Nothobranchius furzeri: one gene and its partner. The protein of the gene in region 1 purifies or fractionates together with the protein of each later gene. This does not show direct contact. Links are inferred from orthologs where the notes say so. Each region holds a gene or a part of one and is shown on either strand. Other genes may lie near its edges.

The links.
Region 2: the proteins of rabggtb (region 1) and rap2c purify together in Homo sapiens (co-immunoprecipitation; 3 studies listed by BioGRID and IntAct, counting the BioPlex papers as one, with this or other methods). This does not show direct contact. The link is inferred for Nothobranchius furzeri from reciprocal best matches to the Homo sapiens genes RABGGTB and RAP2C.

What each region holds. Positions count from the first base shown.
Region 1 is NC_091751.1:41,398,797-41,403,659, reverse strand, and holds the start of rabggtb (geranylgeranyl transferase type-2 subunit beta), read right to left. Parts: upstream 3,068-4,863; 5' UTR 2,947-3,067; coding exon 2,944-2,946; intron 2,731-2,943; coding exon 2,623-2,730; intron 2,089-2,622; coding exon 1,891-2,088; intron 1,757-1,890; coding exon 1,651-1,756; intron 1,450-1,650; coding exon 1,397-1,449; intron 1,208-1,396; coding exon 1,097-1,207; intron 985-1,096; coding exon 859-984; intron 754-858; coding exon 604-753; intron 531-603; coding exon 390-530; 3' UTR 1-389. UniProt on the Homo sapiens protein: Catalyzes the transfer of a geranylgeranyl moiety from geranylgeranyl diphosphate to both cysteines of Rab proteins with the C-terminal sequence -XXCC, -XCXC and -CCXX, such as RAB1A, RAB3A, RAB5A and RAB7A.
Region 2 is NC_091741.1:84,823,830-84,828,819, forward strand, and holds the start of rap2c (ras-related protein Rap-2c), read right to left. Parts: upstream 2,952-4,990; 5' UTR 2,128-2,951; coding exon 1,855-2,127; intron 1,429-1,854; coding exon 1,150-1,428; 3' UTR 1,143-1,149; exon of another isoform or gene 1,130-1,142; intron 1,059-1,129; exon of another isoform or gene 692-1,058; intron 682-691; 3' UTR 1-681. UniProt on the Homo sapiens protein: Small GTP-binding protein which cycles between a GDP-bound inactive and a GTP-bound active form. May play a role in cytoskeletal rearrangements and regulate cell spreading through activation of the effector TNIK.

The DNA.
Region 1 (4,863 bases):
GCCTGTCTGCTGCAAACACCGTTAGTGTCCTCCACATCGCTCTTGCTGCTCATAAAAACGCCTTTTATGATTAAAAAGCAGCTACGTAACTGCTAAGAGTTTAAGGTGCCAAAAACACTTTTTCCTCCCGGCTGAATCCAAAGTTCCACATAAACAATAATATTAATTCTTAGCTGCAGCTGATGGAAGTGATGCATTTAAGTGTAAGGAATGTGTTTTTAAATTATGTTTAAACTTCAACAGCTGAAACACGATACGCTGGATAGAAACGTGAGCAGAGGAAGGATTAAGGCCGAAGAGTGAAACAGAGATGAGTCCGGATCCACTTCCTGCTTCCAGCTGAGGGGAGTTTATGTGAGGGTAGCGGTGTTTGTGAGGATGATGATGGGCTAGCTGAGGAGGTCGGGCTGCAGGTGGACCCTCTGCAGGACGTCCTCCGGCATGCACAGAACCGGATTTACTGCCTTGATCTGCTCGTCGCCGAGGAGAGAGAGACCGGCGATCCCGAACAGAGTGTGGAAAGGATCCACCTGCAGAGGAGAGACCAGAACATTCAGAACACTGGAGGAAAATCTGAGCTCTGCTTTTCAGAACACGTCTCACCACGTCTCCTGGTCGGTCTGCAAAACCTCCCGTCTCCTCGTCCTGACAGGCCAGAATAAACCGCCGCAGCTTGGCTTTGTCGATCCAGTGGATCCGGCCGATGATCTTCAGCGATGCCAGAACCCACCACGAGTAGCAAACATCTGGGAGCTGCGTCAGATGGAGGTTTGATTAAAGACAAGTCTTAAAAAAAGGGTTTCTTTGGTCATTTTTCCAAACAAATCTAAAACCAAACATCATCAGGAGGTGGCAGACCTTCTCTGGTCTCCCGTTGAGGCCTCCAGATGGCAGCTGCCTCTCACAGAGCCACCAGCCCAACAGGTCGGCGTTCAGCTGGTGCAGCTGGCCAGTGAGCGACAGGAAACCAGTGCAGCAGTAAATCTTATGAAAGCGTAAAAAAGCAACAGGGGGTTTAATGTCAGAAGATTTTTCATTCTATTATAAATTGAACCTTTAGGTTTTTTTACATTGTTGTTTGGGGACAAAAACTCACCTGACCAGCGTGAGACTCTGAACCAGGTCTGCAGCCAAAACCTCCATCAAAATTCATACAGGACAGGACGAACTCAACCGCCTTGTCTACGTTTATCGAGTCCATTTTCCCCTGGGAAAGGACAGATGAAGACTAGAAAGTAATCTTCAGAGGTATGGTTAATCTGACTAAATAACAAACTCACGACCTCCTTTAAAAAGTTCACAGACATCAGGAAAAAAGATGCAACTGAGTGAGTTTTATCACAGAACTGTTGGTTCAGCCTGCATTACGGTTATTTTCAGACAAACCCGTACGTACCAGTAACGCTAGCGTAGCAACCGCACAGAAAGAAAAGCGTGTGTCTATTTCTCCTGAAAAGAACGAAAACTTCAGTTACGATAAAGATCTTTAAATAATCTTATAGTTAAAGCTTGTGCACAATTCCAGATGCAGCTCCTTATTCTCAGACATCTAAGAGTTTGTTGTGCAGGTTTCTCTAAAGAGCTGCTTTGCTTTGTGAAAATGACTTTTTATTTTTACTCTAAATGAAAGAGAGAGTAAAGCTCGCTCACCCCATTTGTCCCCTGCAAAAGAGCCATCCTCCTGCTGAAGCCCTTTCACATATTCCACCACTTTGTCAACATCGATCGCATCCAGGCTGTCATACAAGCACAAGATCTGAGAAAGACGTGTAAAAATAAAAAGATGTCAACTAAAAACCTTAAAGAAAAACACATGTGATCGTTTAGCTCATCTGAGTTTTCCTCACATCCTTAGCATTTGTGATTTATTATAATGAGGCTTTGTGTCACCTGGATGGCGCTGAGGGTGTACAGCAGGTGTGGGTCATGTCCAATACTGGCGCTGACGCCTCCACACTCGTGTTGGCAGGCTTTGATGAAGTCTATGATCTCCTGACGGCTCATCCTGGGCAGCTGACCCATCAGATCCATCACCGTCAGCCCCCAGTAGATACCGCTCATCCTCAGGTACTCTGACAGTGTGTACTCCTGCAGCACAGAGGTGTCAGATTTCATTAACACCAAAGACCAGGTACAGTTTGATTTTGGGTTTAAAACATTATTTAATTCCTGTTGCAAAAACCCGTTAAACCAAAGTAAAATTTCTTATTTGTGCACACAATCTTAACCAGTGAATCAGATGATCAGGCTGCTGTAGTTGCTGAGAGTTGTGGAGGGCAGTTCAAAATTTTGCCTTCTTGGCAATCTGTTTTGGGTCCAGGGGAGATCCCCACTGATGTGGGTGCTCATGAGACGTGAGGGCCGTCTCTTTAGTCTTATAATTATTTTTTAAAATGTACATCTTTGGTTTCTTTAAAGCATTTTCTGTCTTTTTTAATATACTTTGTGGAAAATTGGGACAAAAAACTTACCTTTTAAAACACCTGAATGCATCTTTTATCTTAACCCAAAATAAATAAATAAAACGTTTAAAACTTCTGAAACGAGGTTTTATCGACAGAGGCAGATAAAAACGAGACGACACAAATCCTACAAACTAAGTGTAAATAAAACGTCACTCACATAGTCGTCCTTCTTGGACCCGTAGGCAGCGATGTAATCTGCATGTTTGTCCAGCAGCAGCCAGCTGGGAGCGTCAGGTTTAATGATGACATCTTTTAGTTGAGCACTCTGACAAAAACACAACAGAAACGGTCACAAGACACAACTACGCTGTAGTTAAACGAATACAGGAGGACACATTGTTATGACTAGCTGCTAAATGCTAACAAGGGTAGCATCCACTTCGGCACAGCATTTAAATAAAGAAGACAAGATAACATTTACACACACTTTAATTATAAAACGATGCTCTAAAGCACAGAAGAACAAGTGACGGATTACCATTCTGACATATTTTGCATGGTCAAGCTACTTCCGGCCTTCTTCTTCTACGGTTTTAAATGTCGTATAGTTTCAGACTTTACCGCCACCTTCTGGTTTGATTGAAGTATTACAAGAACAAAATATCAATTTGAGTTATTTATTGTGCGGTTTTGAAATCAAAAATACTAAGTGTTTTGTATTTGTACTTTTAGTGATAGTATAGTAAAAATATGTAACTATTCTAGGGAAAAAACTGGAAAAGTTACTTTTACTTTACTTTTACTTTGCCCATCAGCCAAGGCCAACATTAGAAACCTAGGAGTTATTTTTGATCCAGCTTTAAGTTTAGACTCACGTCAAAACCATCTCCCGCTCTTGTTTCTTTCAACTGAGAAACATTTCAAAAGTCCGTAAACTGGTTTCTACTGCAGATCTGGAAAAAATCATCCATGCCTTTGTGTCATCACGCTTAGACTACTGTAACGCTCTTTTTACTGGTCTCAGCAAAACCTCCCTCTCACGCCTTCAAGCCATCCAAAATGCAGCAGCTGGACTCCTAACCAAATCCAGCAGACGAGCTCACATCACTCCAGTTTTACAGTCCCTCCACTGGCTCCCGGTAGAATATAGAATACAGTTTAAAGTTTTAGTCCTCCTGACCTATAGAGCTCTTAACAACCAGGCTCCAAGCTACCTATCTGAGCTTTTATCCCCACACATCACCTCTCGGAACTTAGATCCACATCTGAAAACCTCCTGGCTGTTCCTCGAACCAGACTGTAAACCAAAGGGGACAGGGCCTTTCAGACTATTGGCCCCAGACTTTGGAACAGTCTACCTTCAAATCTCCGTCTCTCTAACACTGTAGAGGTCTTTAAAAATCATCTAAAAACTCACCTTTTCATCCAGGCGTTACCTCCCTAAATGTTTCAAAAAGATGGTTTTGTTCGAGTTCACACCTTCCCTTTGTTTATACTCATGATTTTATTTTCTACGTTTATCACTGCTATTGTTTTTCAGATGTTTTTATTGGTTAGAGGTATTTGCTCTGATCTTTATCATGTTGTGATTTATATCTGTGAAAGGCGCTATATAAATAAACTTTTACTTATTCATCAAAAAGCTTCCTTTAAATTATACCATTAGCTATCATATTTAAAACACCTATTCTTCAGGAAATACATCAGTAAAGTTTTAACAGAAACTAGATTTAAAAACGGCTACAAATACGTAAAAATGTAACATGACTAACATTTAAAGCGTTAAATGTTTGTTTACAATCAGTACATATAATGGTGATCAGTTTTTTTTTTTCATTAATACATTTAGGATTTCCTTTGTTCACTCATCCAAAAGAATGACCGACATCCATAAAACCAAACCATATAATCCAGAATGAATTTATTAAGTGGACGGCTCAGAAAAATCATACAGCATTACATCCAACATTAGTGAGCAAGTGTGCAGAAGTTTACCATAATGTTGATAATGTCTGCTGAGTGGAACTGGCTGACAGCATGCAGAATTACTTCCACACATTCTAGTGTTAAATGAATTTATACAACTTTACACATTTGACCAGAGTCAGTTGTGTGTTTAAGGCATGACTACAGGCATGAAGACAAGTTAACAAAAATCACAAAGGTGTGAGCCAAGTCTGAACTTTGACCTTCAACCGGATTTTCATTAAAAAAAACATCTTTATCAACAAAACACTCGTGAACGAGAATAACTGCAACAGTTTTAGTTCAGAAACAGATTTCCTTCTAAACACATTTATTTGTATCCTGCTGATGATCATTTCCAACCTGAACAGACTCTCTTTCCTTCACATTCAAAAGATGTTTTTGTACAAAATGTGCTAAACTGGAAACAACACGATTATTTATGTCTTAAAAATGTTTCCTTTTCGTGGTCTGAACTTGTTTGATACTGCAG
Region 2 (4,990 bases), on another chromosome or scaffold:
GTCATCACTTCAAGTTTAAATGGTGCACTTTTACCTTTGAGCTTTTCAGGTAAGTTCAGCTGCCTCAGGTCACTTTTAATATATAGATGTTTAACTGTCCTTTTACACTAGTTTTATTTTAGTACTTAACCCACAGTTACACAATCTCAGAAAAAAAATAATCTATCAACATATACTGCTGTGGTCTGTGTCAGTTAGAGGATACTTGGAGTTTCAGAATAAGGTGAGCAGTACACCTGGGCAGCACACTGGTTTGTGTATGCATGGTTAAAAGTCAAAACGCTTCATTAATATGAAATACTTTATCAAATTCCAAATTTCAGACATTATACAAGTAATATTAAAGAATATAGTAATGATTAAAGCAGCTTTAGAAAGGTGCTGCAACCTCACACATCAGTCCTGCTTCAAGAAAACCATCTAAAAATGGATAAAAGAATAAAACCAATAAGACAGAAATTCACAAAGGACTGTTCTTCCAAAGAAGGCGTGTGCCTGACTGCTTCCCGCTTCATCAAAAAGGCTGTTGAGGTTGCAGCAAGAGCATCGTCCAACAGTTACAATATCAAAAATAGGAGTGATGTCTTCTTCTGTCAGTCAGAAACCACTGATCCGGTAGGTTGTTGTCAGACACGAGTCAGGTAGTCCTCAGGTTCTTCTAAATGCTTGCGGTGATCCAAACTTTTTAGATTTTAAAAGAAGAAAAAAAAAATGTTAGTTAATGAAATGAGTTGAAAAGGTCAGTGGAAGCTGGTAACAAAGGCAGCATCTCTACTAGACTGAACTTCCTGTTTTGGAGGCTAAATTCTCTCTCAGGATGTGACTTTTTCCTCTTTCCGCGGATCAGCTGACAACTCTTCTGGGTCTCTTTCCTTCCAGTTCTGAGCTGCTCAGATAGCTGGGTCCTCTACGTTCTGTGATCTTATGATAACAAGCTTACAAACGGTTTGCAGCGCCACCCACTCGTCATTCTCACTTCCAGCCAAATCCCTCCATTTCTTCACGCTGCAAATGAAAACGCCACAGTACCAGTCCATGTGTCACTTCCCCCCCTCAGCCTGTGAAGCATTTTTTTACACAAGCAGCAAGGACATTTCATCACATTTTGTAAAATTAGTCAGGATTCAACTGTGCATACCTACGTCGACCTCACTGCACCACGCAGGCCGTACAGCACTGCTCCTGCTTCTCCGGCAGCGTGGAGTAGTTCATCTGTCGCACGATTTCTGCAAACAGCTCATCCACCATGGTCTTGCTCTTGGCAGAAGTTTCAATGAAGGGGCAGCCCCACTCTTGAGCCAGAGCCCGTCCGTCCGATCCGGCGACCTCTCGCTCAGATTCCAGATCCACTTTGTTGCCGACCAGGATCAACGGCACCTTCTCAAAACGCTTCACTCGTACGATCTGGTCTCGCATCGGCCTGATATCCTGAAAAACACACAAGCACAGACATGTGGGAATGCATAAAAGCTCTAAGGAACAAATTAGTAGTTCAGGCTTTACTAATATAAAGACGAATGTGTTTTCTTGCAATCTTCCACTAATTTTACAGCGAAGCTGTAGGTTAAATGGTTACCAGGACATGCAAAGTGGGGAAAAATAAGAACAAATCAAGTAAAACTAGTGTTCGTTGCTTTGACGGGTTTTTTGACATTTTAGTCTCAAAACATCGTTTTTAACCATTTTATTTGTTGTCATAAGCTGATGAAGAGTGTGAAGCTTCTTTTGAGTTATTATAAGGTCACTACAACAACTCTCACCTAAAGAAACGGGTTTAATTGGACCCTTATGACCAAATAACTCCTGTTGATCTATAAAGTTTCTCTGCACTGTGGAGGTTTCCAGCAGGGCTACCTGGAAGGACTGCTGGTTGACCAGGCTGTAGACCAGGATGAAGCCCTGCCCGTTCTTGATGTACAGGTCCCTCATGGAGGCGAACTGCTCCGTCCCCGCCGTGTCCAGTATCTCCAGCACGGAGGGCGATGAGTCTACCTCGATCTCCTTTCGGTAAAAGTCCTCGATGGTCGGGTCGTACTTCTCGATAAAAGTGCCGGTGACAAACTGGACGGTGAGCGCGGACTTCCCGACGCCACCGCTCCCCAGCACGACAACTTTGTATTCTTTCATTGGGGAGGTGGAGGCTGGCTAACTCGGCAGCTATACTCCCTCCATTAACACCGCACAGGCCTTAAAAATATCTAACAGAACAGCTGGAAACAGTTAGACGGCATGAAACAAGCTCTGCTCATTCACATAACGCCCATTTCTGACACACATCTATGTTTTCTAACTCTTGTTAAATCGCGGTGAAGCTACCTCCAGTCTGGCTAATTTCCAGCCATTCCATTCCGGAGGCTTCGAGCCTTCACATTCGATCTGAAGCACCGCAAGTCGGCTTGGACTCAACGGAGAACTCGCTGTCTGTAGGCAGACAGCGAGTCACCGTGATCCACATTCAACCTCCTCTACAGACACCATACCACCTTCCCCGCTCACACACCAGCCTGCTGGTGTCGCAGCGCTTTCTTGTGTCCGGGTCCGGGCCTGGCTCTGGTTCCGGCCCGGCCCGCGGCCTCGGTAGCCAAGCGTCCTATCAACGCAGGTTCGGTGTTGCAATCCACCAGTCCATTAGCTACAGTTCTTAAGCAGTCCTCGTGTGTGCTGGACTCTGTAGATCAGTTTTTCCAGCATAAAGGAAATCTTTTCTCCACCGACTGATTTCCGGAAGCTGACGGGCTACTTCCGCACCGTCAATGCTTTCAAAATAAAAGCTCTACAAACTGGAATTAGGCCCGAGTATGAAAATAAAAGGAGCCAGCTGTTTTCCATCCATCCATTGTCTGAACCCGCTTGCCCATGCAGGGTCGTGGGGGGACTGGTGCCTATCTCCAGTGGTCAATGGGCAACCAGGCGGGGTACACCCTGGACAGAGTCCATCGCAGGGCAACACACACACACACACACACACACACACACACACACACACACACACACACACACACACACACACCTAAGGACAATTTTTAGACAGACCAATCAACCTAACAGTCATGTGGGAGGTAGCCAGAATACCCGGAGAGAACCCACGCATGCACAGGGAGAACATGCAATCTCCATGCAGAAAGATCCCAGGCCGGGAAGTGTACCTAGGACCTTCTTACTGCAAGGCAATAGATCTAACCACTGAGCCACTGCCTGGAGACAGCTGTTTATTTATTTATTTTTGTTGAATTTGGCCAATGAATGCACCATTCTACACAAGTTAACTGTGAAAATTAGTTTTAATGTTGAGTTATAATAAGAAATCATGATTTTCAGCTTTGTTTGTAAAGTTATCTTTGTAGTGTTGCTGTTTATTTATTTCTGATGATAGTTTTTTTTTTGCCAGGAAAGATTAATCATATCCAGTGTTTTGTGGTATACTCTGATTGGGAAAATGTAATCCTTTCAAACATATCGTGTTTTTCAGCTGATTCTAATGGTTTAACAAAAAATCAAAAACAAAATAAATCTGATCTCAGACAAATCTCTGCTGTAAGGCACATAGGGAGAAAATTTGTAAAAGAATAACCAAAAAATATAAATTACAACATGTGTTGGAGATCACTCTCGCCTTTTGTTTCTTGATTTTTTAATTTGTGATCCTAAGGATTTCCTGCATTTTTTTTTTTTGCCAACGCATGAAAAACAAATCACTAACTGGTTCATCTGTGATGAAATATTTGTACAGAGTCTTTATAATATATGCAGAGTCTCAAAGGTTCAATATAGGGATGCACCGAAACTGATATTGGTATTGGGTCAATATCGATACCAGTATTGGTTTAGATATATCAGTTCCTAGCATTGGTTACCTTTTACCAATACCAATGCAGTTGCCTCAAAGTTGCTTTACTGTAACTTCTCATTTCTGTTTGCCTAATATTTTAGTTTTGTGATCATTTTTATTAATATATTTCATTTTTTATCTACCTCACAGTCTTTTCCTGTTGAAAGCAGAGACGAAAATAAAAACCTGTAATCCAATTCATAGCTTTTTTTTGTGTGGTAGATGTATCAATATCGTATTGGTTTTTAGCAAAACGTTGTATCGGTGCATCCCTAGTTCAATATGTAAGAGTTTAACTGTGAAATAATCACAAAACAGTCTAATGTCTCAATCCTGTTGGAAGTGAATTTATATTGATTTATTGTTTTCCTTCTCAGCCGGCTGGGGGGGGGGGGGGGGGGGGGTCAGTTTTTCTCCTTTAAAAATGGTCAAAGACGGATGTAGTTACTGTTTGAGATCTATGAGCCTGCAAGCTTGTCGATTCTGCATGAGCCAACACTGCAGCTCTGGAATTTGTAACTTGACACTAGCAGGCAAAAAGCTCCAGAGTTGTTCAAAAACTTAAGCCAGAGCGACCCGGAGTGACCCTTAAAAGCCACGGAATCTTTTATCTACAGTAATATTGGGTAAAGAAGGCTAGAGGCTAATGTTGAGCTAACCATGCTAACAGTGAACTAGAAGCAAATAGTGGGCTCTGAAAAAAATCTGAAGCTACTTTTCAATGGTCAACAACATTTTATTACAGTAAAATGTATTTATGTACTTATGAACGTATTGTGTACGACGCATCTTCGCTTGTCATCTAGAATCTTCTGGTGCAGATCCATAACTGGCAACGGCCATGACATTAAAAGAATGGTAGGTAGAAAGTCACTCATTTGTTTTGAAAATAGGCAGCAGTACCCACATGTGACCACAGGATGTCAGTATATTAACCCTCTGATGCATGAATTATGAGATCTTCAACCATGATTTTTTAAACAATTTTTTTCATTCATCTTTAGGTGTGAATGAAACAAATTTCAACAAATATTTTTTGTGACATTTTGTTAATTTACAAATACTTTATTACATGTCCACCTCAGTGGACAGCGTGCATTCTGAACATGAAATATGGTGGCTTGCCTTACTGAAGTCCAAAGGGAGGGGCTCACATGCAAT